Linked DNA regions of Caenorhabditis elegans. The protein of the gene in region 2 purifies or fractionates together with the protein of the main gene of each other region. This does not show direct contact. Each region holds a gene or a part of one and is shown on either strand. Other genes may lie near its edges.

Evidence for each region.
Region 1: the proteins of C08F8.15 (region 2) and R03H10.2 fractionate together in Caenorhabditis elegans (co-fractionation; one large-scale study listed by BioGRID). This does not show direct contact.
Region 3: the proteins of C08F8.15 (region 2) and F53H1.3 fractionate together in Caenorhabditis elegans (co-fractionation; one large-scale study listed by BioGRID). This does not show direct contact.

Annotation. Positions count from the first base shown.
Region 1 is NC_003280.10:4,150,286-4,161,648, forward strand, and holds the start of R03H10.2 (uncharacterized protein), read left to right. Parts: upstream 1-5,487; 5' UTR 5,488-5,489; coding exon 5,490-5,654; intron 5,655-9,890; coding exon 9,891-10,061; intron 10,062-11,363.
Region 2 is NC_003282.8:11,159,063-11,169,382, forward strand, and holds C08F8.15 (F-box domain-containing protein), read right to left. Parts: upstream 1,746-10,320; 5' UTR 1,730-1,745; coding exon 1,644-1,729; intron 1,596-1,643; coding exon 629-1,595; 3' UTR 501-628; downstream 1-500. Other genes in the region: mboa-4 (Membrane Bound O-Acyl transferase, MBOAT), read right to left, coding at 1-46, 90-229, 295-399; fbxb-9 (F-box domain-containing protein), read right to left, coding at 3,217-3,331, 3,382-3,467; C08F8.6 (non-specific serine/threonine protein kinase), read right to left, coding at 3,724-4,111, 4,201-4,316, 4,485-4,794, 4,898-5,226.
Region 3 is NC_003282.8:1,323,866-1,335,119, forward strand, and holds the start of F53H1.3 (UDENN domain-containing protein), read left to right. Parts: upstream 1-5,296; 5' UTR 5,297-5,297; coding exon 5,298-5,393; intron 5,394-5,579; coding exon 5,580-5,701; intron 5,702-5,993; coding exon 5,994-6,138; intron 6,139-7,591; coding exon 7,592-7,697; intron 7,698-7,751; coding exon 7,752-7,891; intron 7,892-8,980; coding exon 8,981-9,246; intron 9,247-10,474; coding exon 10,475-10,597; intron 10,598-11,254. Other genes in the region: F53H1.4 (PHD-type domain-containing protein), read left to right, coding at 1,083-1,636, 3,514-3,792.

The DNA.
Region 1 (11,363 bases), on a different chromosome or scaffold from region 2:
AAAGCAGAAAATTTTTGATTCGAGGATTAAATAGCCGTTGGTCGGGGCCGCTTTTGTCACTAATTGGTAAATGAGAAGAATGGGGCTTCTCCTTCCTATATTCTTTTTTAGGCAAAATTCCCGATTTGGAAAAATAAATTAGATATGATCGGATATATGTGTATGTATATCTATTGTTATCTTATTAGGAAGACTCATAATTGGATGATTGATAGAACATTATATCAATGACAAAAGATGACGTTGCAGATATGATTCAATTTAATGGGCATGCGAATCACAACAATTTTTGCAATTGGGAATTCTTGAAGTTTAATTTTTGAGAACGTTTAGAAAATTAGTTCTAAATGATTGTATATCACAATAAAAACTTAAAAATCAATTTTTGGTAAAGTGCCAAATATTCCAACAAAAAAAAACAGAACAATTGTAGCTCAAACCTAAAATTTTCAGTAAAAATATATGAATTTTTTTTCAAGCAAAACTTAAAAAATTACAACACAAATTTGTATTTTCAAAATAAAACGGAAATTTTCATCAGATTTTTGGATTTTTTTAGCAAAAAATTTGAAATTTTCAGAACAAATATGAAGAATTTTGAGATATTACAAGCTTTTCGGCAGGTTTAAGCCTCTATAATGTTTAAGTGCAAACACATGAAACGCAGATAAAATACAAAAACATTTTTTTTGGCCAACTACAAAAATTATGTCCTCTTTTTTTGATTTGGAAAAGTTTTACTATAATACACTTTAAAAACAGGACGGTTTTGAAATTGTCGTTTTTTACAAGCTAAAACGTTAATAAACTCCATAAGTGTTATATAGAAATTACGCAAAAAAGAACATTCTTGAAGCCTAAGAATTTGAGCGGTAATTCAAATGTTCAAGCATTTTCAGACTGGTTTTTCACAACTTACAATATGAGACTTGCAAATGTTTCGATATTCTGGGAATTTTTATCAGTTTTTAGAAGACTTTTTTTCAGTAAAATGGTAACTTTTTGACAATATTCTATTTGAAATTACTATTTATGTAGATTCGTTTAAAAATCACTTCATACTCCCCTAGCAAACTGCACAAAGTTTCACGAGAAAATCGTTCTTACTCTGCAGTGAGTGTCATTTTCATCAGGATCATCACCACATTCGCGAGGTCATTCCATCATTTGTTGAATCCTAGACCATGAAAAAAAACGGGCCAAATCACAGGGTCATTCAGGACGTTCAGGGGAAGTTGGCAGGAAATTTGAATGAAACTGAAGATGGAAAAACACAAAAAAAGTAACTTGCTACTCGTAATTTTGACCATTTGAATAAAAAATATTCAAAAAAAGCGCTCTAATTACAAGACTGCTAACTAATCAGCGATCTGCAAAAGGCGTGACCTACGCTGCTGATTGGTCGGAGCATGGACGGCAACACCCCTTCCTCTTAAAATGTTTCCATTTTCCTATCACCTCGAGACGGTCACTCTCCCAATCATTTTTCTTCATCTTTGTTTTTCTCCATCACCGTTTTCTTTCCTTTATTCCCACCACACACACACCGCAGCTGTAGGCGACCTTCTGCGGAAGGCGAGATGGGGCGCTCAACCGTTTACGAGAAGACATGTCTTCAGGTCTTCTACTGCTACGGTCCAATGGTATGGGAGAGAGTTGTCCTTGACTAGGTGGTGGATGGAGATCATATCGCATTTCAAAGAGACGCAGGCGTAAAGAGTGAACAGTATACCGCCTGGCTTCTCAATTGCAGATCATCGACACAGTGCCCCCTTCTCGGGGGAATGGTTTGTATGGGTGTGTGGGTGTGTGGCCCCAATTTGAATATCCTCTTACTCATTTTGTTGGCGTTTTCGTTTCTTACTTGCGACCGTTTTAAAAGTTATTTTTTGGACAACAAACATTATTTTTCTGCAAAAGTGCATGCCTAGGCTTTTACCGGCTTAAGCATGGGCCTAGGTTTAGGCTCAGGCTTAGGCTTAGGTTTAGGCTTATGCTTAGGCTTAGATTCAAGCTTAGGCTTAGATTCAAGCTTAGGCTTACGCTTACGCTTATGCCAAAGTTTCTGCTTTTGCCAAGGTTTCGGTTCAGGCTTATGCTCAAGCTCTTCCCGTGGTATGTGTTCAAGTTTAAACTTTCTCAGAATTATTGGAATTCACCAAGCTCTAGATTTGAATCTATTCCAGCTTAAAATTGGTCCAGGCGGAACTCGCATCAATTCAAGCCCTTTTCTTTTTGATCTTCGAAATAATTCTAAAATTAGAATTTGAATATTTTTCTACCCAACAAATATACCTAGTTAAGGTTACCTTATATGTTGACCACGTTTGCCGATTTCAATTGTTTCTCTCAGGGTGTCATAAATCAAGCAGTCACCCTTTATGTCCTTGCCACTGTTATTTCCTACCCCCCACCAACTGGTACAAACCATTTCGAAAAGTTTTATTTAGCTGCCTATTTCAGATTAATACCCTAAAAATTAAAATTTTGTGCGCTTATCTATGCAGAGCAACGCTAAAAACAGGAAGAACCCAGATAATTTCGATCGCAATCTTTTTTGCGAATTTTCTCACATTTTTCTTCTAATTTTTGCTGTTCCTACCTAATTAACCGTATTAATTTCTAATTTTCAAACAATCTTCGATATTTATCTCACACATTTACTATTCACCGATGAGAATCTCAAGAATCATCACAACGTTCGTCCCGTCGGCGAGGCTATGGCTTGGTTGAAAAATGAAAGTCTCCAGTTGTCCTGTCAATTCGTTTCGAATTATCCACCTCCTCCGGAGGAGAAGAAGGAGAATGAAATTAAGTGATGGGGTAGGCTGCTGGTGACTAGGGAGATGCAGAAAGGGGGGGGGGGGGGTCACTTTTATTGTCTACCCCGTCCGGTCATCCGTCTTTATACCTGTCTCATGATGACTCATTTTTGAAATTCAAACGAGGTAGACTCGGCAGTTAGGCACTTTTTAAGCGAACACCTGAGATTGAAACTAAGCGTAAGCCGAAGCGTAAGCGTAATCGTAAGCGTAAGTCTAAGCGTAGGCCTAAGTTTAAGCCTAAGTCTAAGATTAAGCGTAAGCCTAAGCCTTAGCCTCATTCTAAGCCTCAGCCTAAAGCTAAGTCTAAGCCTAAGCCTATGCCTAAACCTAAGCCTAAGCCTAAGCCTAAGTCCAAACCTAAGCCTTAACCGCATGTATGTAGTTGTTCCAAAATTGTTTAACTTCATTGCAGCTAATTTTCCTGAACACCTTCCTCATTAGTTGACCTATTTTCAGCCAATTACAGTTTGAAAGTTCTTTTTAAATTTGAAATCCTCTAATTCCCTTTCCCCCCTAAATGACCTTTAATACCCATAGAGTCTCCTGTCCTTTGGTGGCCACTTTTCCAACCCGATTACCTCTAATTTCCCACTCTCTCCTTCTATGTCTCTTTTTCTGGTTACCAAGGGACCACAGACTACTAACACACCTTTCTACCGCTTTTATCCCGAACGGGAGGGGGCACTATGCATTAATTATACTTACGAAGGTCGCAGACTTTTATCTTCGTTTGTTTTCGATTTTGCATACTTTTGTGTGTTTATTGATTTTTTTTTTCGTGTGAAATTTGAAATCTTTTATTGTCGGCGGAGCGAATTTGCATTAATGTTTTTGTTAAATTAGGTAAGAAGAAGACATTTTATATTAAAAATTTATAAAAGCTATCGATTTTCTATAATATTGGTGTAACATTTTAGGGTGTTTTAGCGGAAAGCCAAAAATTTCTGAATTTTCTTTTTAATTGTTGACTTTTTCAAACATTATTTGTATTTTACATACCAATTTTGTTTAAGAATTTAAAAAAAAAATAATAATTCAAATATGACGAAAAAACATTATCCGGACGTTAAGTTTGCTATTTTTGAGAAAAAAACAATAAACGACAAATTTTCTCAAATTCGGAAAACTATGCGTCTTTACAGAGTACTATAATTTTACCCTAAATAAATTCTGCAGTGTTTTTTTCTATTTAATTTACATAGATTTCTCACATTTTTTTCAAAAAAATAAATAAGTGCACAAAACTGAAAATTGATGAAAATTCCAAAAAGATAAATTACAGTACTCTTTAAAGACGCACACTTTTTGGCATTTAACTAACATTAGTCGTATCGAGGCCGGGTATCACATTTTTGGCGGAAAATTGCAAAATTAATTAAAATTTTGCAATTTTGCGTCTGAGTAATATATTTACAAGATGGTGGAGTTGTTTAATACTTGAGTTTTTCTAAATTCAAAAATTTCAGAGATTTTTGTGAAACTTTTTTTCTATTTTTTGGGTTAAGGCAATTTTCTATTTTCTATGTTTCAGTTTTCCGGTGTACCCCTCCACCTTATTCCTAGTGACCTTACTTGTCTCGGGTCCTTCATTACCTTCCCTTTTCGTCTTCTAAACGCATCTCACAAAAGTTAAGTGTTGACTCATTTCTCTCCCTCAAAAACCTTACATGTTCCTTTTTCGGAATGCCTCACACAACAAACCAGCGATGCATTTCCGAACACACATATGTCCACCCATAAAAGTGCGATAAGTAGATTTTGACTGTATATTCCCTGCAGGTGGTCTCTTTCTCTCTCTCTCTTCTTTCTGTCGGTTAGTACCAGAAGCCTGTCTCCCGTTTTGTCATATTCTTCTCTTTTCCTGATGCTTCTTCTCCACTACTACCACCTGTCTTCTTCTTCCCTTCCATTCCGTTCGTTTTCCTATTATCGTATTAGTATATACTAATATGCGTTTGACGTTGGAAACCTGAAGTAGATTCTCTCCGGAAGATAGATTACCACATTTTCACTAGTCGGTTGTTGGATTTATGAAGCTGTTAACACATACTTTTTATTAGCTGGACAGTTCAGGAATGGATTTGGCTTGGGCTTAGGCTTAGGTTTAAGCTTAGGCTTGGGTTTAGGCTTGGGTTTAGGCTTAGGCTTCGGCTTGAACTTAGGCTTAGGCTTAGACTTAGGCTTATGGTGAAGCTTAGGCTTAGGCTTAGGCTTAGGCTTACGCTTACGCTTAGGCTTACGCTTAGGCTTACGCTTAGGCTTACGCTTAGGCTTAGGCTTATCCTTAGGCTTAGGATTAGGCTTAAGCTTAGGCTTCGGCTTCGGCTTCGGCTTAGAGTTAGGCTTAGGCTAGGCTTAGACTTAGGCTTGTTCTCTAAATTTTTAATGTTTTTTTTGTTGCAAAGACTATAGTTTTTTAACAACTTCATGACGCATTTTATTTAAGCTTGTAAACTTCTAGGCTTATAGATTTTAATGTAAAATTTCGGGAATTGGAAATTTCGATATTGAATAAAAAAATTTCCAAACAACGTTTGCAACATTTTTCTTTAGAAAAAAAATTGTTTTTTTCTTTTTTATTTTCACATTGTCTTTTGTTCCTTAAGTTTTTATTCCAACTTTGCTAAAAGTATTTACAGTTAATTTTCAAAATTATCTGCAGAAATGGATTTCGATTTCGATTCGGAGCCAAAAACGCCTCCTCAACTACCCCCTGCTCCACCGATTCGGACAGTGTCGAATAACCCAAAAGTCACGTTTAAAGGCGCACAGACTTGGAGAGAATCTGTCGGAATGTTTTTGGTTATGGCACTGGCATTGGCAGTGGCGGTTAGTTTTTCAAATTTTCCCCAAAAAATTTAAGTTCAAAATCCGACCGCGGTCACACTTGGCCGGAATCCATCTGCTATCTTTAGTGAACCGGATATGAGAAAAAGTTTGTTTCGAAAAAGGAAAAAAAAGAAGATTATATGCACATGAATACTGCTTCACATTTTTGCAAAAAGAAATATGTTGTGTGCTTATTTTCAAACTTTTTTGGGATTGGAACTTTCCGGTACACTGAGCTTTAAACCGAATTATTAATAGGATTAAAATAAGCTGGGAAGGGGGTTCCGGGAAGATTATAAATTTTTTTTTTGGTTTAACTGGAAAAAGATTATTACTAATGAGATACTAGGTATACAAATAAATAAATAACAAAAATGCACGAAACCTTGTGAAAACTGCAAAACGAAATTTCGAAAAGACAAAATTGAAGAGTGAATTTTTGAAGCATGAGTCTACAGATATTAAGCCAAAGAGCTGAGCCTGAAAGACTCAACTTGAAGGCCTACATTTGAAGGCCTACGCCTGATAGCCTGGATGGGATGTGTCGAAAAGCCCTTGGGATTAAGTCGAAAGACTTAATCCCAAGGGCCTTGGCCTAGGGTCCTAAGCAAAAAAGCCCAAGCCTTAGCCTGAAGGTATAAGCCCAAACGTTTCGGATTCCCAAAATACTTCCTGACTCATAACTCAATTTTAGAACCAAATCTGACTGAATCACAAAATGTTTCGGGAACTCAAAAGAATCTATGACCTGATTACTCGGTTATTCTTAATAAACACCCTCTGCAGCTGTAAATACATTATGAATAGGTGCTAGTTAGATAGATCAAAAGTTTTTGTTAGATCAAAAAGTGAAGAGGAAGTCAGAAAAGTTGGGTTCGAATAGTGATATGGTCTATTAGAGAAATAATTGAATCTTTGAATCTGTGAGTCTGTGTCGGAAAAATATGTTAACTACAAACTAGGATTTTCTCCTTTTCGTAGTGAAAAATATAGTTTAGAAAAAGCTAGCTTAGTGGTAGTCCTAAACCTGAGACTCGGTTTAGGCCTACTCCTGAGCCTAGAACTAGGCATAAGCAGGTGTCTAAGCCTAAATACATATCTGAAGACCATACTTAGGTTAGAAGCTTAAGTGCCAGCTCTTGCAACCTTGAAATGCTTAACATCTACTAACCGAAGTTGTGAATCCTGATGGCCTAGCTCAAAGCCTAAACCTAGAGCTAGCCTTAAGCCTAGCCCTTAGTCCTAGGTTAATGCCTAGTCTTGGGCCTAAATCTAGTCCTAGGCCCAAACATGGCTATAGACCTAAACCTGACCATAAGCCTATGGCCAACGCATAAGTCTAGCCCTAGTCTAGCCAGTCCTGTTCCTAAAATTTCTGAAATCTGAAAAAATCTGAAACTTTTCGGTACTCTCGCTTCTTTGTTATGAATTTTTCATCTTGTTGTTCACTTTTAAGCATCTGAAATTATCTGAAAACCCTGAAAATCCCTAGAAAAAACAAGACACTTTTGATATATAAAAATGTAATTTATTACTTTTTTTGGAAGCTTTAATGTCAATTTTGGTTCAATATATACAAAGAAAGTAAGGGTTTCTAGAGTCTACAACAATTCAAAAAACAATGAAGAAAAAACAACAAAATAACATTTAAAAAACAAAACCGGAAAAAAATAGTAGTTCGAATGTGGAGAGACCCGTGAAGGCGGCTTGTGTAGATTTTTGTACAGATATTTAGAACAGTTAGGGCTCATAGAGGAGCTTTCCAAGAAGCTTAATAAAATGCAGATACACATCTGCGGAACCCACGTCGCTTCTCCTCGATAGTCCTCTGGATTGCAGCCTTGACTGCTGGGGAGCGGTGAGCATCGACGTTGGTGAGAATGTCTTGATTGATGTGGAACATTTTGTAGAGAATTTAGAAATTAGAGCAATTGAAGAATTTGAAAAACTCAAGAGATTAGAGTATTATCAGTGTGTTCTCTTGCTCTTGCTTATATAGGCACCCGTGTGCTCTGGTGATAATTGGCTCCGCCCCGCGTTATCCATCCAACCGAGCATGGTCATGAGGCGAGAGACGGGTGAACAAGAAGAAGTCAGAAGAAGATGAATAGAGAGGAGTCATAGGAGCTAATTAATCAGCAAGATTTTTTGGAGGGGAAAAGGGTACCACGAGGTTTCTCGAGCAAAGCTTGCTTGAGAAGGGGTACTGTAAGGGAGCAGAACTTTTGATGTTTCTAGAAATGGGAAAACGTTTTTTTGAAAAAAATCAAAGCTCAGCTTTGGATGAGGTGTATGCCAAAAGTCTTGAACCAAGCTTAAGCCTAATAGTAACCGTGAAGAAAGAAGCCTGAGACTAAATCTAAAGGCCCTAGTTTAAAGGCCTAAGTTTGAGCTTCAGCGTAAGCCTAAGACTAAGCCTAAGCCTCAACTCAAGCCTAAACATATGCCCAAGCCTAAGACTGAGCCTAAATCCCAAGCCTATGCATAATTCTAAGCCTAAGCCTAAACGTCAAGGGTTTGCCCAACGTTCTAAGCCCAAGAACTCGGCCTCATTTTCTTCCGAATTTGTAGTTTTTGATACCTTTTTTTCTGAATTCTCGTCAAACCTTCCAAAATTTCAAAGCCTACAATTTCCAAATTACTCTGTTTTGACCAACATAATTGCCGGCTGAAAGATCAAATTGAAACTTTTTATTCCAGAAAAAATCGGGTTTCCTGCAAAAGCCCGAGCCAATTTGTGCGCAGTTTTGCCCTATAATTTTCTCTAATTTCATGAGAATCTCGTTTACTTGAACTTTGAAAATTAATGGCTGGTGTTTGAAATTTTCATACCCCAGAAGATTCTCTTGACTGGACAGGAGGAAGAAAAGAAATATTCCAAAACATTTTAAGATTCACTTGACTTATTTTCAGTCTGAAAAACTTGAAATCCTGTTCCGCTTGGCTCGATTTTTTATCCATCTGATTTTTCGGTTTTAAAAAAGAGTCACGTAGTGGCTTACAGACCTTTTTGAACAAATTTTGAAAATTTTCAGCCAAATTTTTAAGGGATAATGCACAAAGTTTCTGATATCCGGAACGTTCGGAACAGGCATAATTAATCGCTTCTAGACGACTTGTTGTTGAGCGGAAATTTGATAATGTCTGGGGGTAATCACGGGAAAATTGTAAAAATTGTAATGGATCAAAGAACATAAAACATAATGGTCTCAGTTAGAGAAAAATATTCTGTGAAAAATTTTAAAAGGCATGTAGGAAAGCAGGCAGGCAAAAAACCCAAAGTTGCCGAATTCCAAAAACTCATTCATCAACTTTTTTTTTGTTTTTTGATTACCAACATATTAACCCAATTACTCACATAAATCCTATCAATTTCACACATCATTTTCCATTCAAAAAATTCAAAATTCTTTCTCCAGACAAAGCGAAAATCCTCAGCATTTTCACCGGGGGCCCCCTATTATCGGATTAGGCAATTTTAATCCAATAAAAGTTTCGGAACTCCCTCAATAAAATAATGGAAACCCAACAAAAAATGATGAATTTTAAGATTTTAGAAATGATGGGCAAAAGCTCTATGACTAAGAACATTTGGCAAGAAAACTAGAGTTTTATGTTTCTAGTTTGATTTTTTTTTTTTGAAGATTTAAGTGCAAATAATGTGTCATGACAGGGGGTGAGCTGGCTGGAAAACATATTAACGAATGATTGTTTGAACTCACTGAGGAAATAAAGCAGATAAAGAAGCGGGTTTAAAAAACAGTTTTTAGTTAAGCAGACGACATTAAGCGGTTCCGTCTGTCCAACAGCCCGGAAGATGTCGGGCGCTGAAAAGGAACAGGAAATTACAAGCGTCCGACGCATACCGGGTCCCACCCTGCAAATGTCAGACGCTGTTACGCTTATTGGATTTTCGTAATTTTGTCAAGTTTAGAGACTACTTTTTGGTTGATAAACGTTCTAAAAATTTTGAAAATTTGTTTTACAGCGCCCGACGTCTCACGGGTTCTATAGGGAACCCGAAAATTGTCGGGTGCTTCACACGTTTCTTCAGCTTATCCTTTTTGAAATAGCTGAGGTTAACCGGGTCATTTTTATCACCAGACATCTTGTAGGACAAATGTTTTTTAATTCGAATTTTGAGCCTCCGTAGTTTTTCAACTTTAGAGCTATTCTTTGCAGTTCTCAAATTCCCAGTTTCGTAGTGGGACCCAACCTAAAAATTGAAATTTGCAGATCTCAAGCCTGGTGCTCCTTTGTTACGTGTGGAAGGACAAGCAAGTGTACGATCATATTGTGGATTTCCTCGACAAAACGATACAAATCTCGAAAATCGCTGAACGTCCGTTCCTAGGAGTATATCAGTTGTCTGAAAAAGAGCTTGAAGTGCTTGGAAACGAGAGAACTGTAAGTTTTAGTATTGGTTCATAGACCCTTTTTGAAACACTCTAGTTAAAAAATTGCCGAAGATCTCTCTGAAATTGTAGGTAGACCGCACTGGCCAAAATGATGTGAATTTGTATTTCAAAAAAACCAAAAAGTTATTTGTAGCTGGCGTTTTTTTTTTCAATTGAATTTGCATAATCAACTTATAACATTTCTTGTACTACATATTTTTAAATAGGATTTTTTTGAATTTTCAAAAATGTGAGGGGATTTCCCCTCAACTATCTGCAAGTTCCAACATGAACTCATTGTTTCTGACCCCCATCTCTTATGTGATTTTTTACATTCAAAATAAAAAATGAACAACAAAATCGAAGTTCAAAAGATCCTTGATCCAACACCAGAAAGTTTTTTGTATTGCTCTTTACCCCGCAACAACAAAATGATGAACTCAAATGTATATGGGATTAACTAGAAATAGACAAAAAAAGTAGAAAAGTAATCGGTTTTTGGTGGCTTTCTCCGAGAACCCACGCAGAGTAGGCGCCATAGATTAAAAGTTCTGGAAGCAATTTTCGGTTTTATTTGGAACTGGAAAAAATTAACTAAACGAGACCTACTAAATATTGGTCTTTTTTGGCAACTCCCAGAAAAGAATTCAGAGACAGAGGAGCTTTTAAGAAAATTTCATGTTTCGAAAAACAAATGATATTTCTTTTCGAAGTTTTTTTCTGAACATTTCCAAAAGAGTCCTTCTTCTCAGTTGGCTTTTGAGATTTATAGCTGGGATGCCCGGCAAATTTGCCGAATTGCCGAATTTGCCGTTTGTCGAGCACGACAAATTTCAAAAAGTAGATTTGCCGAACTTGTCAAGCTCGGCAAATTTTGAAATTTGCCGCACACCCCTGATTTGTAGCATAAAAACACCAAAAATGAGCTACAAAAGTTTTCAAAAAACGTTGAAATATTAGTTTAGGCATAGCTAAACATTTGCCAAAGTTCCAAAAAAGCAATATCGGAAAAAGTTAATTTTTTTAGATTTTTTTTCAAAAAAAAACCTCTTATTTCAAATTCGATTTGAAAAACACATTTCAACGCAATTTTTCAACCACTTATTTTAATTTTTTAACGAGTTTAAATTTATTTTCAATGACAACACTCTGCCAACTTTCAGGCAACTCATTGGCAACTTATGTCAGAAATTTCTAAAAAAGGGCTGACTGTCGCCAGAAAGTTGTCACAAAATGTCGCGCCTGCCATAAACTTTCAAACGTTCCCAGAAACTTAATACCCCTATTATCAAAAATCATGACAACTTCCGGA
Region 2 (10,320 bases):
GAGAAGGTAACTTCCAAACCCGTTGATGAATAAATGAGCTATGGCACTGAAAACCCTTTTTTTTTAATCTACTTCATCTCAAAACTCACTTTCCATAGCAAAAATAGGTGAAAATTAGCCCAACTGATGTAGTGACTGCTGCACGAGTTGTCCGACTTGCATCACAAAATTGTACACGGAACCAGTAGCCCAAACCGAATGATAGAAGAAGAACAGTGACGAAGTTAAGCTGAAAATTCAAGTTTTGCGAGGCACATTTAGTGCAATGCATTAAAATATTTCAAAAACTCTTACTTGATCCAAATTCATGCTAATCGCTCGTGAAACCGGTCTCAAGAGTGTGACCGGATCATAAAAAATATGATTACTCTCGTCAACATCCTCATTCAACGACGACATCCTCCGAGTCGATGTGAAAAAATAATAAATTGATTTATTCTTAAAGGTTTATCTCCACATCCACTACGTCATTTTTGAATTGTGGTTTCTTATTTCACGTTTTTATTCCAATATTTATTCCATTTTCCAGTTTTTCCAATTAACAAAACAATTAGAAGCAACAAATATGTGCATATATATGTGTTCATAAAAAATACAATTAATGAGAGTGTATCAAAACAGAACAAAACTAGAAAATAAACATATTTAGGCTGTACCGCATAACACTCGGATTGCATGTTCTGATTACAACATCGCAATTTGTACCATCGAATCGTGTAATACGAAAACCACGAATTTTGGTAATTGAAGGATTTCCGTGATTGAAGATATCAAGCATTTTCTTATAAACTGACACCTCCTCTTCTTTAACCTTGTAATCAATTCCTTCTAATATTGTTTCTATAACAAGTTCTCTTTCCATATTCATCGGAGCTTCTAATGCCAAACATTTGAGTGTTACATTTGATCCACGTATCCAGTGCTTTAAAAATTTGTTCACATCTTGTCCCAAAAAAATGTTGCCTCTATCAACGTTAACGAGAAGGTTTTGGCAATTGGATATGAGTAAATCATTCAGATTATATGGAGAAAAAACATTAGAGAATAGTGTCGCATTATTACAAATAAGAAATTTGTGAATAGACTGTGAGGTTTCATACGTGCAATTAGACAACACAATAAACTCTGCTTTTGATAAAAATGTATCATTAACGGAATTTGTTCGGTTGGTTTCATTTGAAGTCATGTCCAGTATATGATAAGATAACTTTTTTACACGAACTCCTTCTAAACAACTATGAAGATTTTCAAAATCAACATTAACATTTCTACTTCCCATTGCAACATCTAAAGTTGAAATATTGAGAATATAAAGAAAGTGATCTATCCAATTTCTAAATTTTAAGTTTGGTCGTTCCCATTTAAAATTTTTCACATCATTTGTAGAAACTTGAACATTTTTCGGTGCACATAGTCCTGGTGTAATTTTCTGACTACTATTCAGCATGTACAGATAAAAATCAATTATACAGCCTTCGAAGCAAATACTCAAAATAAGGTCATCAAAGAATTCTAAACACAATCGTATGCACTTCAGATTTAGACTCCGAACGAGGTCTTTTGTATTTTTTGTGGCACACAAGGAGAGTGAAAATCTGAAAAAGAAAGTGACTAAACTGGTTGTATTAACAAAATAAACTTACACAGAAACAGAACTCATGTGCGAAAGTGAAATGCGTTGAGCTCTTTGAGGCAATTGAAGAAGACGAAATGGAGAAACGGCAGCCATTATAGATGTGTTATGCAGAAAATGCAAGACATATGAAGTGACTGCAAGAGAATATAGATCGATATCTGACTAAATGGTTGCAACAGATGGCAATGTTGTAGTGACTGACAATGAGCATGATAGGAATCCCAGGTGACCTCATCCTAAATGTTTCAAACGAAAAAACCTGATTTTCAAAAATCAACATTAACATTTTTCCTTCCCATTGCAAAATCTAAAGTTTAAATATTGGGAATATTAAGAAAGTGATCTATCCAATGTTTAAATTTCAAGTTTGGTTGCTTTAATTCAAAATTTACCACATCATTTGTAAAACGTCGAACCTTTTCCGGTGCACATAGTCCTGGTGTAATTTTCTCACAACTATTCAGCATGTACAGATTAAAATCAATTACACAGCCCTCGAGACGAATACTCAAAATAATGTATCTGAATGCTCCAGCACTCTTCCGTTTAAGATTATTATTTATTTCGTCCCATGAGTGAAAAGAAAGGAAACAAAGAAAGGTAAGCAGCAAAAAATAGCGGTCAAAGGGACAGTGCCTCGGAGGGGACAGAGTCAGAGGGAAAGTGAGTATAAATATGTGTTCATAAAAAGTACAATTAATGAGAGTGCATTAAAACAAGAATCTAGGAAACAAACATATCAACATTACAACATACACTATTTGCATTTAATAATCTGATTACAACTGTTGCATTTGTTCCATCGAATCGTTTAATACGAAAACCACTTATTTTGATTATTGGATGTTTAAAGGTATTTCCATTGCAGATGTGAACCAGTTTAATAGAAGCTGCATCTTCTTCTCGTGCATCCTTGTAACATATTCCTTTTAATATTGTTTCTATAGCATGTTCTATTTCCATATTCATCGGAGCTCTGAATGCCAATGATTTAAGTTCTCTATTGGACCCACGTATCCAATGCTTTAAAAATTTATTGACATCTTTTTCCAAAAAAATGATGCCTCTACCGACTTGAACGTAAATTTTTTGGCCATTAGACACCAGCAAATCATTCAGGTTATATCGCGGCACTCCACGAGTGAATACCGTCGTAGTATTATGAATGAGAAACTTGTGAATGAACTGTGAGCTTTTATACGTGCAATTATAAAAATCAAGAAACCCCGCTTTTGATAAAAATGTATCACTAACGGGATGCTTTCGATTAATTCTATCTGAAGTTATTTCAATACCTTCATAGGTGAGCGTTCGTATAGGTACTCCTTCTAAACAACTATTAAGATCTTCAAAATCAACATGAACATTTCTCTTTGCCATTATAACATTCAAAGTTGAAATATTTAGAATATTGAGAAAGTGATCTATCCAATTTCTAAATGTCAAGTTTGGTCGTTTCCATACAAAACTCTCCACTCTATTTGCAAAAAATCTAACGTTTTTCGTAGCACATCATCCTGGTGTAACGTTTTTTTACTGCTCAATGAATTAGACTAAAATCGATTTGACTGTTTTCGCAGCTAATAATCAGAGCAATGTCGCCAAATATTTCTAAAGAAAATCGATAGAACTTTATATTGAAATTTCGAACGAGGTCTTTTGTTTTTTTTTGTGGAGCACAGGGAGAGTGAGAATCTGAAAAAGAAAATGACTAAACTGGTTGTTTGTTAACAAAATAAACTTACATTGAATTATAACTCATGTGCGAGAGTGAAATTCGTTGAGCTCTTTCAGGCAATTGAAGAAGACGAAATTCAGAAACGGCAGCCATTATAGTTGTGTTAGGCAAAAATGAATGACTGCAAAAGAATATAGATCGATAGTTAACTGAATAGTTGCAACAGATGTCAATGTTGTAGTAACTGAGCATGGCAGGAAACCCAGGTGACCTCATCCTGAATGCTTCGAACAAAAAGCAATGTTACTAATGAGAAACTCCAATATTCAAAATAATCACGTACGCGTAGGATAAAAAACTAGATATCACATGAAACATTCAAAAATAATTTATTTTTCTCGAAAGTCAATCAATACAACTCCTCCTTCTTATCGTCTTCATACTTTTCCTTTTTCTCTTCCTTTTTCTCCTCTTTCTTCTCTTCCTTCTTTTCCTCAACAATTTCCTTACTGACTTTGGTAACCTCCTTAGTCTCCTTATGAGATTTTCCCTCTGCCAACTCAACTTCTTTTTTCTTGATAACCTTTTCTGTTTGATCTACAACTCCTTTCTTCTTCTTTTCCTGTTCTTCCTTCGTTTTCTTCATAAGAGATTGCTCCCAATCATACGGATATTCAGTGGATCCCGTATTCTTCATTGCCTCTCTCAAAAGATAGTAGATCCGTTCATAGTTCGGCTCATCAAAGAATTGTCCCTTATCGATCGCTTCGAGAATGTCAAGGTACTCACGTGGACAGCTGAAATAAGATAGGTTTTGAAACAGAGACGGGTGATGAAAGTTTTTTCAACACTTCAAAAATAGTTTTTTAGAAAATCTGTCTCTTACCCTCCGAACATCTTCTTCTTGACGATGGGATCACGGCGAATAGCACGCTTCTCATTTCCAACATCCTGGATTTCTGTCATATTACGCCATGGCAGGGACCCTTTAGTGAGCTCAACCTGGAAATTTAACATTTAAAATGTTAGATTTCGGATCAATTTCAATTTCTGATAAGCTTTCTGCCTTCCTTAAAATGGCAGAGTTTGAATTATCGCGCAAGTGACTTTAAGCGCGAATTCAAATCTAGTTGAAAAGCAGATAATATTTTGATCCGAATACACACTCACCACCATGTAAAGCCACGTTTCGCAATCATCCTGACGACAGAGTTCACGTCCAGCATGACAACTGACAGGCGCATACTTGACAGTCCCACGGAACCCGGCGACGTTACGGGGCTTCTTGATAGTTCCATCCTCGTGAGCAAATTTACGAGCCATACCGAAATCCAGCACATAAACTTTGCGAAGCTCATTGACCTCGGCACGTCCGATTGTGTAGTTGCCAGGTTTGACGTCACGATGGAGATATCCAATGTTGTGCATGTCCTCGAGTGCCTCCAGCGATTGACGGGCAATGGAGATAGCGGTTCCCATTCTGGAAAGGCAATTTGGTGATTGAATTCTGGGAGATCCAACGGGAACAATAACTTCCGTTTTGCCAGATCTCTGTAAAACCGTTTCTCTGAAAGAAAACTTACGAGAATTTCTTAGTTGGTGAAATGGCTCTCAAATCGGCAAGTGACAACCCAACAAATGTCATCACGACATAATTGAAATTATCGACTTGTCCCTTATCCTCGATATTACAGAAATGACGTCCTCCGGCCTTCTTCAACTCATTCAACACGTAGACTTCCATTTTCAACAACTGAATTTTCTCGTCTTTTCCCTCGACTTTAAGTGCAAAAAGGTCTCCTTTCGGGTTGGAACACTTGTAGACTGCACCAAATGCACCCTCTCCGAGTTTCTTATCAATTTGCCACTTTTTTACTTTTGTACCGACACTTAGCTGGATCAAGTCGCCCATTTTATTTGAGTTACTGTAAATGTGAATTGAATTAGATACAAATTTCAAGCCATTACATTAACATTTGGTTAACACAACTGTTTAGGCTAAAAGAAAAGTCTGCCCTTACATACCTTTTAGTAATTTGTCGGAGAATTATTATTGATTTATTTTTCGAATTCCCCCTTTTGGAAGTTTTCTTTTGATAAGAAAAGGTCACGTGAAATTATTTTGTTATAATTATCACCACCCCCCCCCCCCCTCCCTAGTCTGACTGCAAAATGATCACTTTGAAATTCCCCCTACTCACCTTTTAGTAATTTGGCAAAAAACTTCCAAAATAAATTAATACTGATTTTTGTCGAAAGATCGACATTTTGATAAAGCCTGTAACGTAAATTTTATAAAAGGTTACGTAAATAATTTTTTTATTATTTTGCTAGACATTGATTCAAAATTTCCCTCCAACTTCAAGTGCTTTGCTGGCAGTTACACCTGTATAACCGTGCCGCTCAAATTGTAGCCTTGTTGTTACTATCCATGTTCCGTCACAAAGCATCCGACCGAGCACATCTGTCAGCTCTCTTTCCGGCTCTGTTGCGTCTTCCACGCAATCCAATAAAATGGTTGTTTGTGTTGTGTACTCGTACAAATTGCTCTTCTTTTGATAATCCTCTTGCAACACACGTGGCGGTGTACCTTTTACCTCGATTAGGAATGTGGAAGAATTAGGAATGGTGATAGTGAGATAATCTGAAAGATTGCATAAGTTTCAGATTGTAATTTGAATACTGTAAAAAGATATCAAACATTTGTAAAGAACACATATCTGGTTTGAAAAAATTGAAAATTAGCTGAATTCATTCAATTTCTAAAACTTAAATTATTTCTGAAAATGTTTTCAATAACTTGAGTATGTATTTCCTTTTGATCATTTAATGAATTTAAGCAACTACAGTCATTACTAACATCTTTGTGTTATCTAAACATTTGCCAGCTGTTTGAAAAAAATTGTCGCGTCCATTTTTGGTTACTCTGTATTAGGTCTGATCAAGCCATGCCTATCCTTTGAATTTCACCGTAAGACGATTGCTCAATTGGTAATATCATATCGATACTCTGTAATTATATATTTTTTTGCTCCAGGATAACAGTACAAGATGTACATCTTTTAAATGCCTCTACTGGACAGGTGCTTACGATATCTGTGGTGGAATAATCAATCATTTAAAATATCCATTTCAGGTTTTTGAAAATGTTGCATTCAAGTAACACAATACTCCTTATATCCCCTTCAATCCACCCCCGGAAATCATCAATATCTTCGATTGATCCTTATCCTTGAAACTTACTCTTCTACAGATCTGCATACAACAACAATGAGGGACTCTCGAGCATTGTATGAAGTGCTCATGATGGGTTGAAGCTCAAGGTCGAAATTCATCTAGTGCTTTTGTCTCTTGTTTTTTTTGTTTTTATTGTAAGACTATGAATAAACAAAGAATATGTTGCGATAGTGCCAAAATTGTTTGTATTATGTTTTTTACAGTTTTGAAAATTTGAAAAGTTAGGAAATATGTTTCTTATATCTAGATGCCGGTTTTTTGAACTATTTGGCATCAGGTTACTGTAGACACGTTCACTTCTTCATTTCTAACAAATCGAGTTCTCATTTAATAAGGTCATAACGTACCCATGCATCTACTCCAATCGGGTGTCACTAACTCAAGTGTGCTATGTACCAGGTACTATGGAACATTTCAATAAAAATCTTAGATTGATGACATTGAGAATGAAGTACTTTTAACTTTGGTTTCAGTTACAAAATGTGATAGGTGCCGGGAGTTTGCATGCGACTTCAAATTTATTTGATTTCGGTTAAAATCTGAAAGCTGCAAAATTTTTATATGGTTTTCATAAAAATAATAATCTGGAAAGGATACTTTTAGAATAAAATAGTGAAATAATCATTTGTTAAGAGTGATACAGTTACAGAGCCTGCGGTTAACATCTTTAGTTTTCCTTTATTTGACCTGAATGTACATCAATCCACCTGTAACAAAGATCATCTGCCTTTTGTCGGCGCATTGTGCAAGAAGTGGATGTTTTCAATCATTTTGAGACAAATCTCTCTTACTCTTGTATTTCCAGTCGTTTTTGGTCTGTTCTCTAATAAATCCTAATCCCTTAAAAGTATCGGACAACTTGTAAAAGAAAGCGAGAGGTTACGCCATCACACTCTTCTCCTTTTAAGATGACACACGAAGCGGGGGATACTGTAGTTATGAGGGAGATGTGTTGGCAAACAAGAAGAAGAAGGAGAAGACCTCGGATATATGGATACAAATGAAAAAGAAGATGTACATTAATATAGATCATGAGCAAATAGACTAGAGGAAATCATAAAGGAATGCGGGAAAATGAAGGATGTAATTCTGGATTTTCGGAATTTAAAAACGATGATTTGGCGTGTAGAATTCACATGTCGGATGTGAAAACGGAATTTAGAATCATTGGGATTACGGTATAGCTGGCAAAAAGCAATACACACATCAAAAAGATACATCTACTTTTTTGCCCACATAATTGAAATATTCAGTGTTTTAAATATTATAAAAAAGTAGTGAAAAAAGGATGTGTACCATCAAAAATTTAGAAGCAGTACTTGCAGGTCGGACAAGACGCCAATATAATTATAAAGGTTCTCTCAGGACTTACAAACAATTAAAAGGTTCGAATGAAATTCAAGTTTGAATAATAGAAACGTATCTCTATCAGACAACTAACAGTACAAAGTATAACAAATCACTTCACCCGTTTACTCCACTTCTTCCCAAACGAAACCCTTGTACTCTAATGTTTCCAAACTTTTTCCCATGTTACCTACTAACTTCACGACTACGGTAAACGGTAAACGGCTCTTTGCCAACTCAATGATGCGTATTCAAATCGACAATTATCTGTGTGGGGGCTTTCGAGGTATGTGTGACACGGGCGGTGCATGCGCGAAATCTAACGCCGCTCTGAATGAAAGAGAGAATGAGAATAGCTTCCGCTTATTATATCCTTCATATTATATGCCTTTGGCTATGACACCACTTACCTATAAACAACAAATAGCCGACATATGGTGTGACAAAACTTTAGCGCAAAACGTGGGAAGAAGATTAGAGGGAACAATGTGATGAACAGTCTGTGGGGAGCTCTTGTCGGCTTGAAATGGATGAAACCTAATAGTTTTTAAAGAATTCCGGTTCATAGAATTGAACAATAAGATGATCATCCCATTTTCTAGTCCGTGTTTAATTCCAGGTACATTTCAAACAATTTAAAGTTGGAAAGTTTCTGTCAGAAGTTCGATTAATTGATTCAGTGAAACTATAATTAGAAATTGAAAATAGAAATGAAGCGGTTTCCGTATGCTATCAAGTTTTTGTGCGCCTTGAAGCGGAACGTTCTGTTTCCTACGGATTTTGAAATTCTGTGAATACTAGGGATTCCACAAAATTCGCCTCCCAACGAGAGAAGTTAATGCCTACGTGATGAAAAATTGTTCACAAGTCTGATTGAAGCACTATAGAAAAAATATAAATTGTTTTGTCAGTTGATAACTTTTTACCAACTCAAAAGACAACTGAAACATAAGCTGTCCAAGTACATAGAGCGATGGGATGCAATACTATACGGAAACATGATTGTGATAAATAATTTACAATCCAATGTAACATTGGAAGATCTATTCATTTTACTTCCCCCCCCCCCCCCCCCCACCATTTCGCTAAGTTTTCCAAAAGTTCACACCTGTATGACCCTCGTCTGTCTATCTCTCTTCAACGACCTTTTCCTGCATCGTTCTCGATATTGCGTAAAATCCCAACACATTGTCTTACTCTTGGGTAAAATCGAGAAAAAAAAGTATTTTTGATTGCGTAAGCATCAAAATGAAATGCAGGTGTTCACCACTAAAATGAAATGGAGGTCATGTTCGTACCCTGTGGTACAAGCCACAGAGAGTTCAATTTATATGATGAGCATTTGAAGAATTTTATTAGGTTCTAAAATACCATGAGCCTGGCAGCTGGAAAAATATTTTACTGTTTTTTTTTTTGCTTAGAAACCTAATACTATAGACTACACTGAATTGGTTGTGACAACCTACTGAAGAACAAGAGGGGTAGAACATTAAATAACGAATCTAAGAATTTACAATCGGTGTTACAATGTTAAAGTTTTCAGCAACTAACTTCAAAGAAAATTAAAATTTTAATGAATCAAGGGATATTGGTTTTTTGGTTCGATTTTGTTCTGGCTCTCCGAGAGAGAACTATATGCCTGATACTGATATATAAAAAATAAAGTTGAAAATGAAGTTTGTAAAAAATACAGCTTGAAATTCGTCAGTTTTACGTTTGTGGTTCAAGCAAGTCTGGAACCTAGAGTTTCCCTAAAATAATATTTATATTTAATTTTTCACACGACCTGAAGTTTTCTCTCAAAACAGTCTACTACATATTTCACATAGAACCCCAGACTCCATCTAACTTTTTGCGGCAAAACTACCATTCCTCTGCTCAAAACTTTTGCTCCAATTCTTTTCATCATAAAGTCTTTACTGATGACAATGAATGGTCAAGTATTCTCAGGGATGTCGTCGGGTCTTTTGAGCTCTTTTGAGTCTTCCAAAACTCCTTCAACTTGTGCCTCCAAAAAGATTTGAGGAGGCATTCTGAAGAATGGGAGCAACAACGGCAAGAAGTGTGTGGTGATTGTGCGCGGGATGAAAAGAGAACAAAGTTTTTGGGATGAGGTGGATGCTCCGTGAGCAATAAAAGGATCCGACAGGAAGGGAGTTTTCAAGAGTAATATTGACTATATAGGGCAAATATAATAACATGACCAAGGATACAGAACTGTTTTCCGAAAAAACCAGAATCCCAGAAAAGAACCACTTCTTAATTGAGAAAGTTTCAAAATTTGTTCAAGTCAAACTGCAGATAAAATGTATTGAAATTAAATAAAAATTGAAAACTCCGAGTTAAAGTTAAATTAAAAGATGAGTAGAGTGTGGTCAATCATAGTGGTTGCTTGAAAACTTCACACACTAGTAAAGTTTAC
Region 3 (11,254 bases), 9.8 Mb from region 2:
ATGGAAAAATTATGAATTTTCCGATTTTTTCCGAGCAAAATGCCGAATTTTCAACTACTTTCTTTTATTTTCTCACAAAACCTCAAAATTCTTAGAAAAGCTGAATCAGACTATGAAAATTGGTGCAAAATTTGGAATTTGTGCGATCTTGTTTAGTTTTCACTAGATTTTGTTTCGAATTTGTCGAAAATTCCTACGTTTAGTCCAAAAACTAGCTAATTTAAGCCTAAAACTGTCTAAAATTTTCATTTTTCAGCCAAAAGCCAAAAGATGTTCGTCTTTTGCCAAAAAAAAAGGGTAAAACTATGGATTTTCGGCTTTTTTTCCAGAAAAATGGAAAATTTTAGGCTTTTCAATTTTTTAAAAAGGAAATTCGACAAATTGTCACAATTTTATGACCTTTCCCAGAAAAATTGGAATTATTAAGCTTTTAAGACGTTTTTTTCAGTTTTACTGGCATTTTCTTATTAATCTAGATGAGAGCTTCAATTTAAGTATAAATATGGCGTATTTTACGCAAATTTTAAACAAAATTGGGTCTCGCCACAAAATTCTACAGTAACCCACAGGTTTTCGTGGTGGGACCCAATTTTTTCAGACTTTGCGCAAAGTAGGTCAAAGTTATACGGTAACTCGGCAACAATATTGTCTGTGACTTGTGTGTTTCTCTATCCGAATTGATGGTTTGAATAGTGGTATTCTCGGCTGAAACATGCAATAAATACCGTATTCCAACCAACAATTTGTGCAATAGAGCACATTTGTCACCGGAGATGCGGAAGCTATGCCCAAATTTTCATTTTTCCGGTGGAAAATAAACTGGTGAAATCCGGTGACAAATTTGGAATTTGTGCGATTTTAGTTAATCTGGTGTTAATATTCGCTACATTTTGTTTAAAAGTTTTCGAAAATTCATAGGCTTCAGGGGGTTAAAAACTAGCTAGTTTAGGCTGAAAACTGTCCAAATTTGAATTTTACAAATTTTGATGAAAATATGTCAAATTAGGCGAAAATTAGCAGAAAATTCGGAAAATAACTAGATTTTCAAAGTCAAAATTTAACTTTTTTTTTGCATTTTCCAGAGTGCTTCTCCCATCTAAAAATGCCACGTTTCTGCCGTCGTGTACAGGAAGCTTCAAATGCATCCTGTCTTCACATGCTTCTAGCCTATTTTGATGCCCGAATCGACCAACAACGTACACTTCCAGAACTTTCATGTCAAGTGTGCCGCCGGAAGACTGGAACCGAGAGGAAGCTGATGTGTAAGCAGTGTTCTACAGTATTCCATTACGGTTGTCATCGTCCAACGATTAGTCGAGCTCTTTTCGAAGAGGAAGGCTTCAAGGAGGGATGGTGGTGTGCAAAGTGTACTAAGGAAGATCGTAGAAGGCAACTATCGGAAGCTAAGGAGGATCTTCGACAGAAGGAAGAAGGTGGAGGGGATGAAGAAGATCATCATGGAAGTGGTGAATCTGACGATGAGGATGAGGAGGATATTGTTGAAGAAGAGACTCGAGGAAGATCTGCTAAACGAAAGGCCAACGCTGCAATGCGAGATGTGCTTGAATTTGAGGGAGTGCTGAGGCAGACGCCTGCCCCGCCACCGCCGAAGCGGCAGAAGACCGTTGTTGTGCCGGTAAGGGTGAAAATTGGATGGAAATTCTGGCGAAAAACTGGGTTTTACTGGATTTTTTCCCAAAAAAATTGGAAAAATTATGGATTTTAGAAAAACAAAGGAAAAAACGGAAAATATAGAACTTTCGACAACTTTTTTCCGAAAAAAATTGATTGAACAATTTAGGACTTTTCCGACTTTTTATGGAAAAAAATTCAAAAAATTATGGTTCTTTTCCGATTTTTACGAATATATTGGAAATTTTTTGGATTTTGGAAAAACAAAGGAAAAAACGGAAAATATAGGATTTTCGACTTTTTTTTTCCGAAAAAAGTCAATTTTTGGTTCTTTCCTTTTTTTTCAGGAAAAAATTGGAAAATTTCTGGGTTTTCCCGACTTTTTATGAAAAAAATTCAAAAATTTTGGATTTTTCAGTTTTTTTCCGGAGAAAGAGCAAAAATTTGGGGTTTGCCGGATTTTTTCCGACGAAAATTGGAAAAATTATGGATTTTTCCGATTTTTTCCGAAAAAAACGGAACATTTTAGGTCTTTTCCGACTTTTTATGGAAAAAAAATTCAAAAAATTATGGTTCTTTTCCGATTTTTACGAATATATTGGAAAATTTCTGGATTTTTCGATTTTTTTTTCCGGAAAAATTGACCAATTTTTAGTTTTTTCACCCTCTTTTCCAGAGAAAAATTGGAAAAAAAACTGATTTGCTACCGAAGAAATTGAAAAAATTATGGATTTTTCGACTTTTTTTCAGAAAAAATTGGAATATTTTTGAATTTTGGAAGATTCGTCTAAAATTAGAAATTTTTCGAAAATATCTATTCCCAAATTTTCCATTTGTTGAGCAAAATTTTGTGAGTTTTGCGAAAAACTGGGTTTTACTGGATTTTTTCCCAAAAAAATTGGAAAAATTATGGATTTTAGAAAAACAAAGGAAAAAACGACGGAAAATATAGAATTTTCGACTTTTTTCCGAAAAAAAATTGAACAATTTTTGGTTCTTTCCATTTTTCTTTTCCGGAAAAAAGGTCAATTTTTGGGTTTTCTAACTGTTTTACCAAAAAATTGGAAATTTTTTGATTTTGGAAAAACAAATGAAAAAACGGAAAATATAGGATTTTAGACTTAAAAAAAATCAATTTTTGGTTCTTTCCATTTTTTTTTTTGCCGGAAAAAATTGGAAAATTTCTGAGTTTTCCCGACTTTTTATGAAAAAAATTCAAAAATTTTGGATTTTTCAGTTTTTTTCCGGAAATATTAAACAATTTTTTTTCTCACCCTTTTTTTCAGAGAAAAATTGGCAAAAAAAAACTGATTTGTTACGGAAGAAATTGACAAAAAATAGATTTTTCGACTTTATTTCCGGAAAAAATTGAAAATGTTTGGATTTTTTGGAAGATTCGTCTAAAATTAGAAATTTTCAGCCAATAAAATTTAGACAATTTCTCGAAAATATATGTATTTCCAAATGTTCCTTTTTTTTGAGCAAAAACTTGTGAATTTTCATTCAATTTGTCCAGAAAATCAATTTTTCCGTAATTTTTCCGCTACTTTGAAAAAAAATTAGGTCTAACAAAAACCTACAGTAACCCACAGGTTTTCGTGGCGGGACCCAATTTTTTAGACATTGCGCAAAGTAGGACAAAGTTATACTGAACTAAATTTCCCTGTATATTGTCTGTGACTTGTGTGTTTCTCTATCCGAATTGATGGTTTGAATAGTGGTATTCTCGGCTGAAACATGCAATAAATACCGTATTCCAACTAACAATTTGTGCAATAGAGCACATTTGTCACCGGGGATGCGGAAGCTATGCCCAATTTTTCAATTTTTTGTTAAAAACTTGAGAATTTTTCCAGAAAATCAATTTTTCCAAATTTTCAGGAAGTGCTGGAGCTGTTCAACTCGATCGAACGTGCCAATCCTCGACTCTACAAGACCCTGCAACAAATTCCCGGCCAATCCCGTTCGACACGTAACGCTCAACACGAGAATCGCTCTCTGCCGGATATTGAGCAAGATTTGGACGTTTACACGTCTGCCGAGCAGCTTCACGAGCATTTGAGCCAATTCTTCCGTCATGCACGTGGATACATTGAGACTCATAACCCAAGAAAGTTGGATGATCTTGATGAGCTCATTTCTGAACTCAATTTTATGTGATTTATTTCGGAATACACTGAAAAATCTTCTTTTTTTTTTGAAAGTGTATCATTTTTATTGTGAAAAGTGTCCTAAAATGCAGTTGAAATGTTGAAAAATCGGTTTTTTAAATTAAAAATTTAAATTTTCGGAATTTTTTCCCAAAAAAATTGAATATTTTAAATTTTCCGATTTTTTTTCCAAAAAATTCGAATTTTTCAAATAAAAATTTCCAAAAATATGAATTTAATTTTTTTTTTGAAAAAATTCGAAATTTTTCGACTTTTATTTGCAAATTTGGAGATTTTTCCAGTTTTCGCAGAATTTTTTGATATTTTTTCTACATTTTTTACTTTTTTCCCTATTTTCTCACTATTTAATCCCAAAAAAAACTATCAATTTCTTATTTTTCTCACTTTTTCACAGATTCTCCAAATTTTCCTGTCCCTTTAAGATTTTTTTTCACCCCCCGGCAACGAGTTTTGGCATTTTTTTGAAATTTTTCATCATGGCATTCGATCATTTTATCTAATTTATTGTAATTTTTTGGGTGAGAACCCCCTCATTTTTCGATTGTAAAACGTTGAAATAAAGTTGGCACACGTAATAATGAAGTTACAGTAATCCAGCGGTGGGTCTCGAGTGGAAAACTTGGAAATTTTGAAATTTCCGGTTATTTTTTGCTGGAAATTGTAGGTTTTCAATGGAAAGAATTCAATTTGAAGTGAATTTCACAAAGAATTCGAAAACATGGAAAATACACAAATTCCGGAAATTTTCTGGGTCTCGAGTGTAAAACTTCAAAAATTTGAATTTCCAGGTTAATTTCGCTGATAAAGACAACTTTTCTGGTGAGAAACTCGCGACTTAGGATGAAAATTGTGGTAAATATTCAACAATTTTGGAATTTTTTGGGTCTCGAGTGGAAAATACAAAAATAATTAGATTTTTCGATTATTTTATTCTAAACATTGTGTTATAATCGTTTAAACAAACCATTTGCTTAATTTTAACGACAATTTTCGTTAAAAATATCTAAATTAAGCTTGAAAACATTTTTTTTTAACAGAAAAAACATTTGCGCGTCAATTAAAGTGTATTGTATGCAATGCGTACTTTTTCGCTTACCGTAGTTAGCACATATTTAAATAGACATTCAATTTGAATTATTCGTGAAATTCATTTGTTTGGTATAATCTATCTGATTTCAAATCTTGCTTAAACTTTCGGATTCGGCTGAAAATCCCCCGAAAATCCCCTGAAAATCGGTTAAAACCAAAACAATGCAAGTGCGCTCCATCGCACCACCGAGAGAGCACGCATTCCGTGGAGTGCGCGAGATGACGAGAGAGACGGAACCGGTTTCTTTGTTCGTTTTTGCCGATTTTGCGCCGTTTTTCATGAATTTTCCAGTTTTTTTCGCTGAAAATCAGCTAATTTATCGATTTTCTCACCATTTTTACCCTAAAAATCTTGAAAATCCACCTAAAAAGCACAGAAAACCTGGAATCTTGAAAATTTTCAGAATGGAGCCGGATATTGAGCCATGGGACCGGTTTCGCGACTGGCTTCACTGCATTTGTGTGGTCACGTTTGATTTGGAGCTTGGACAGGCGTTGGAAGTGAGGATTTGCAGAAAAACTGAAAAAAAAATGCAGAAAAATCAAAAAATCCCGGATTTTCTGACTTTTCGCTGCGAGACCCGGAAATTTTCGCATTTTTTAAAATGATTAATGTGATTATACTCAAATCAAAGCTCTCGACGAGCTGAGCACGATTTTGACAAAAAAAAAATCTGGTTTTTTCAGGTAATCTACCCAGGAGACGCAATTCTATCGAACACTGAAAAAATCAATATCTGCTATTTGGCATTTCCAGACTCGAATTCCAGTAATGCACGAGACACAAATTTTCATTTCAGGATACGCAGGTGATTTTTTGAGATTAAAAATTTCGGAAAAAAATATTTTTTTTTCAAATTTTGAGAAAAAATTTTTTTGGCTGAAATCTGAAAATTTGCGAGTGATTTCCGTGTTCAGCTCACCGAGAGCTTTGATTTAAGTATAATTATGACCTACTTTGCTGAATTTTGAAGAAAATTGGGTTTTCGTGGCGGGACCCAACTTTTTTCAAATTTCAGCAAACTAGGTCATGTTTATACTCATTTTGAAGCTTTAAGTGAGCTGAATTCAATGCAAATACTCAAAATTAAAAATTTTCAGAGCAATCAGTGACGTCAGAGACTGCCAAAAGTCGTTTGTCGACAAATCTCCGACGTCTCTACCCTTTGATACACACTATTTATACGGTTTTGTGCATTTTCGGCAATGCAAAGACCCGACAATTCATCGAGGATATTATCAGAAGGTTCATAACCGGAACGCAATAAAATTGGCGAAAATTTGAGTGAAAATTCGAGTTTTTCCCCGCTAAAATTCACTTTTTTCCGGAAAAATGGAACAATTTTTAGTATTTTCCCCTTTTTTTTGGAAAAAACGGAATTTTTTAAATGTTCGTCTTTTGCCAAAAAAAGGGTAAAACTATGGATTGTCGGCTTTTTTTCCAGAAAAATGGAAAATTTTAGGCTTTTCAATTTTTTAAAAAGGAAATTCGACAAATTGTCACAATTTTATGACCTTTCCCAGAAAAATTGGAATTATTAAGCTTTTAAGACGTTTTTTTCAGTTTTACTGGCATTTTCTTATTAATCTAGATGAGAGCTTCAATTTAAGTATAAATATGGCGTATTTTACGCAAATTTTAAACAAAATTGGGTCTCGTCACAAAATTCTACAGTAACCCACAGGTTTTCGTGGTGGGACCCAATTTTTTCAGACTTTGCGCAAAGTAGGTCAAAGTTATACGGTAACTCGAAAACAATATTGTCTGTGACTTGTGTGTTTTTCTATCCGAATTGATGGTTTGAATAGTGGTATTCTCGGCTGAAATATGCAATAAATACCGTTTTCCAACCAACAATTCGGTGCAATAGAGCACATTTGTCACCGGGGATGCGGAAGCTATGCCCAAATTTTCATTTAGCGCGGAAATTTGGCTGTTTTCGGGTGTAAAGTAGAAAATTTGGAAATTTCGACATTAAAATTTATTATAAAATTTGAAAAAAAAACCCATAAAAACCCTTTTTTCTGACAATTTTCTGTTTTTTTTAAATCCCAGTTTCCGAGGAAAGCTATAAATTTGGGTACGGTAACTCGGAATTTATGATGTTTTTTTTTTAAGCTGTAAAAACTGAAAAATTCTGCTCAATTTCCAATTTTTTGTTGAAAACCTAGTGGTTTCTTGGATTGTTCTAATTTTTAATCAAAATCCTGCTGAAAATTAGAATTTTTAGCTTTTCCGCTTGTTTTTCGGAATTTTTTGTGGCTTTTTCCAGGTAAAAAATCCGTTTTTTACGGAAAAAACGGCAAATTTTTGAATTTTTCGATGTTTTTCCCATGAAAATCAAAAAATTTGTATTTTTTGTTTTTTTTATAGGAAATTCGAATAGTTTTTTTTTTCGTGGCGAGACCCAACTTTTTCAGACTTTGCGCAAAGTAGGTCAAAATTGAACGGCAACTGAACTGAATTTCCCTATATATTGTCTGTGACTTGTGTGTTTCTCTATCCGAATTGATGGTTTGAATAGTGGTATTCTCGGCTGAAATATGCAATAAATACCGTATTCCAACCAACAATTTGTGCAATAGAGCACATTTGTCACTAGAGATGCGGAAGCTATGCCCAAATTTTCCATTTCTCAGCCTGAAAACTTGGCTGAAAATCCATTCCTTTTTTTTTTTAGCTAATTTTCTATTTCCAGAGCATCGTCCTAATGTCAGTGCTCCCACTGTTTTCCTTGTTCTACTCAGTTACCGCCCGCATCGCTGAGCATTTTTTTGAAAGTGGAGAAGCAGCAATTGAAGCAGGTAGCCGCCACCTGAAATTGGAAAAAAAAACTAAAATTTTCTGAAATTTTCCAGCCTGCCATCACATTGACACGTGGCAACAGCCGCACGCTGGTCGGACTATTGAGTTACCGTTGCTCGGTACTTTAATCAGTTGCCGCCTACCGGCCGCCTGTGATCTACCATATGAATTCCGGCTTGATGGACATGTTGAGGTAGCTAAAATTGGAAAAAATTGGAAAAAAAAAACTCGAAAAATTGAACATTTTTGGTCTGAAAAAATGTCCGGAATCTATCAGAAAATTGAAATAAATAGAGAATTGTGAAATTTTTAGCCGAAAAATTCTTATTTCTAGATATTTTTTGAAGAATATTCCAATGATGTTCCAGAATCTTTGAATTTTTTTTTAAATTTAAGAAAATCACAAAAATTTCAGAATTTTAATTCTATAAGTTTTCGAAAAAGAAAATTTCTTCAAAAAATCAGAAAATATGCTGAAAATTAACGAAAAATTGGAGATAATTTATTACAAAAATTTTCAGAAATTAAAAAAACAAAACTGAAAAATCTAAAATATTATCCAAAAAGAAGTGTATTATAAATTCACTAAAAATCTCAAAAAATCCAAAATTTATCAGAAAATTTAGAGAAATTCACTAGAAATTGCGTAAATTTCTGAAAATTCGAAATATTATCAAAATTTGGACAAAAAAATCGCAAAAACCCCCAAAACTATCGGGCAATTGTGAAAATTTCAGAAAAAAAACTCAAAAATTTAAGAGCTTTAATTCTAGAAATTTTCGAAAAATTCCAAAAAAATCACAAAATTTTTCAAAAAATTAAAAAAAAAATTTGAAATCTCGAGAAATCCAAAATTTTTCAGAAAATTTTCAAAAATTTTTTGAAAAAATTTGAGAAAATCCTTCAAAAACCTATAATTTTATTAGTTTCCTAAACTTTTTTCAAAAAGTCTTTAAAAATCCCCATATTTTTTGTTGTTGTAAAACACCGAAAATTCTAGAAGTTTTTTGCAAAAAAAATCAGACAAAAGCTCAAAATTAACGAAAATTTTAGAAAATCTTTGAAAATTCCAGAAATGTTTAGAGTTTTCTAAAATTATTTCGAAAAATCTCAGAAATTCTCTAAAAAAATCCACAATATCGAAAATCGAAAAATCTTCAGCAAAATTTTTGTAGTGTAATGTGTCAAAAATTTTCAAAACTCGTATTAAAATACAAAAAAAAAATCGATTTTCCCACAATTTTTCCCTCCAAAACCACTCAAATTTTTGCTACTATTTCAGCTATCAGACGATGATTCTCAACGCCTTGTCCGTCCAGATTTCACTACATCAATTGTACAGCACGTCCATCATTTGCCACTGCTCTGGGAGCTTGTACTGCTCGGCGAGCCCCTTCTCATCGTTGCTCCGACGCCATCCATCACTTCTGCTTTAGTTCAGTCAATCGTTGGATTACTGTCACCTCTGAGGATTGTCAACGATTTTCGACCGTATTTTACGATTCATGATTCGGAATTTCGAGAATATTCGTCGAAAAGTCGATCGCCGTTAGTTTTTATGCTGAAAATCCTTTTTTGATTTTTTCTTCAAAAATCAGCGAAAACTCGGCTTGTGCCATTTCTCAAATTTTTAGGCCAAAGGATTTATTAAAATCTGAATATTTCGACAAAAATATTGAAAAATAAAATTTTCCAGAGAGGAATGCCATAAATTTGGGTACGGTAACTCGGCAACTGGGCAATTTTCGAATTTTTCAGTTTTTATTTTTAAAAAGCTGTAAAAACTGGAAAATTCGAGTTTCAATCGGCCCCCCGGCCCAAGCAGTTACCGATTGAGCCAGGGAGGATGAGGAAATCCTAGGTCCTCGGTGACTGCGACAAAAATGTTGTTTGTTTTTTCTGGACCTTTTTTTTCCTTTTTTTTTTTGGGATGAAAAAATTCGCAAAAAGTTTTCCCGTGGTGGAGAGTTGAACTCATTTTTTGTGCTAAAAATCCGGATTTTTTCATTCAAAAATCAGCGAAAACCCAGCTTGTGTCATTTTTCCAATTTTTACGCCAAAAGATTTGTTCAAAACTGAAAATTTCGACAAAAATATTGGACAATTTGATTTTATAGATTCCGTAACTCGGTAATTGCAAAAACTGTCGAATTTTCCAGTTTTTTACATAAAAAAAATGTAAAAAGTGAAAAACTTTGGCCAAATTTCCAATTTTTTGGTGAAACCCAAAAATTAACATAGCTTTTGATATAATTTTCTCAAAATCCTGCTGAAATTTTGAATTTTTAGCTTTTCCGCTTGATTTTCGGACTTTTTTCAGAAAAAAATTGAAAAACTTATGGGCTTTTCCGATTTTTCACGACGGTAAACGGCAAATACGGTTTTAAGAGTTTTTTTTTGGAAAAAAAAACGAAAGTATCAAGAATTTGAGCATAAAAATGACGTAGTTTGCGCAAATTTGTTTTTGGGTCTTGTCACAAAAACCCACAGTAACCCACAGGTTTTCGTGGCGAGACCCGAATTCAGACTTTGCGCAAAGTAGGACAAAATAATACGGCAACTGAACTAAATTTCCCTGTATATTTTCTGTGACTTGTGTGTTTCTCTATCCGAATTGATGGTTTGAATAGTGGTATTCTCGGCTGAAATATGCAATAAATACCGTATTCCAACCAACAATTTGTGCAATAGAGCACATTTGTCACCGGAGATGCGGAAGCTATGCCCAAATTTTCAATTTTTGCTGAACATTTCATTAAAAATCACTTTTTTGCAGACCCCGTGTGATTCTTGGCGTAACGAATCCGTTCTTCATCAAAGCCCTGGACCATTGGCCGCATATACTTAAAGTCGCAGAGCAAGGAGCTGAAATTGGTGGAGACGATATGAAGAAGCCGAAGTAATTATTGGAAAATTTTGGAAAAACTCAAAAAAAAAGTTCTAGAAAATTTTGGAATTTTTAGAAATTTTTTGGATTAAAAAAATTAAATTATAAGATTTCTAAAAATTCCAAAAATAATTTTAAAATTTTCCAGGAAATTTTAGATAAAATTCCTAGGAGTTGTCAGAAAATCCCAGAATTCTTTTTTTTTTAATTCCCAGAAATTACAAAAAATCTCAGAAAATTCCCAAAAAAAAAAAGAAAAATTGCAGAAAACATCAAAATTGAGAAAAATTACAAAAAAAAAATTCAGAAAAAACACAGAAAATTCCAAAAAATCTGGACAATTTTTCAAAAAAATCCCAAAAATTTCTTAAAACTCCCAGGAAATTCTCTTAAAATATCCAAGAAAATTCTCAGAATTTCAAAAAAAAAATCTCTGAAAATTCCAAAAAATCTGTAAATTTTAAGAAAAACTGATAAATTTCAGACTCCAAAAAATCTTATAAAAATCTCAGAAAATTCAAAAAAATGCCAGAAAATTCCCAAGAAAAATTTTTAAAGTTAAAAAAAATTGCAAAAAATATCAGAAATTCAAAAAAAAACCCCAGGCAATGCCACAAAATATCTGAAGTTTTGTAAAAAATCCCATAAATTCCCAGTCAATTCCAAAAA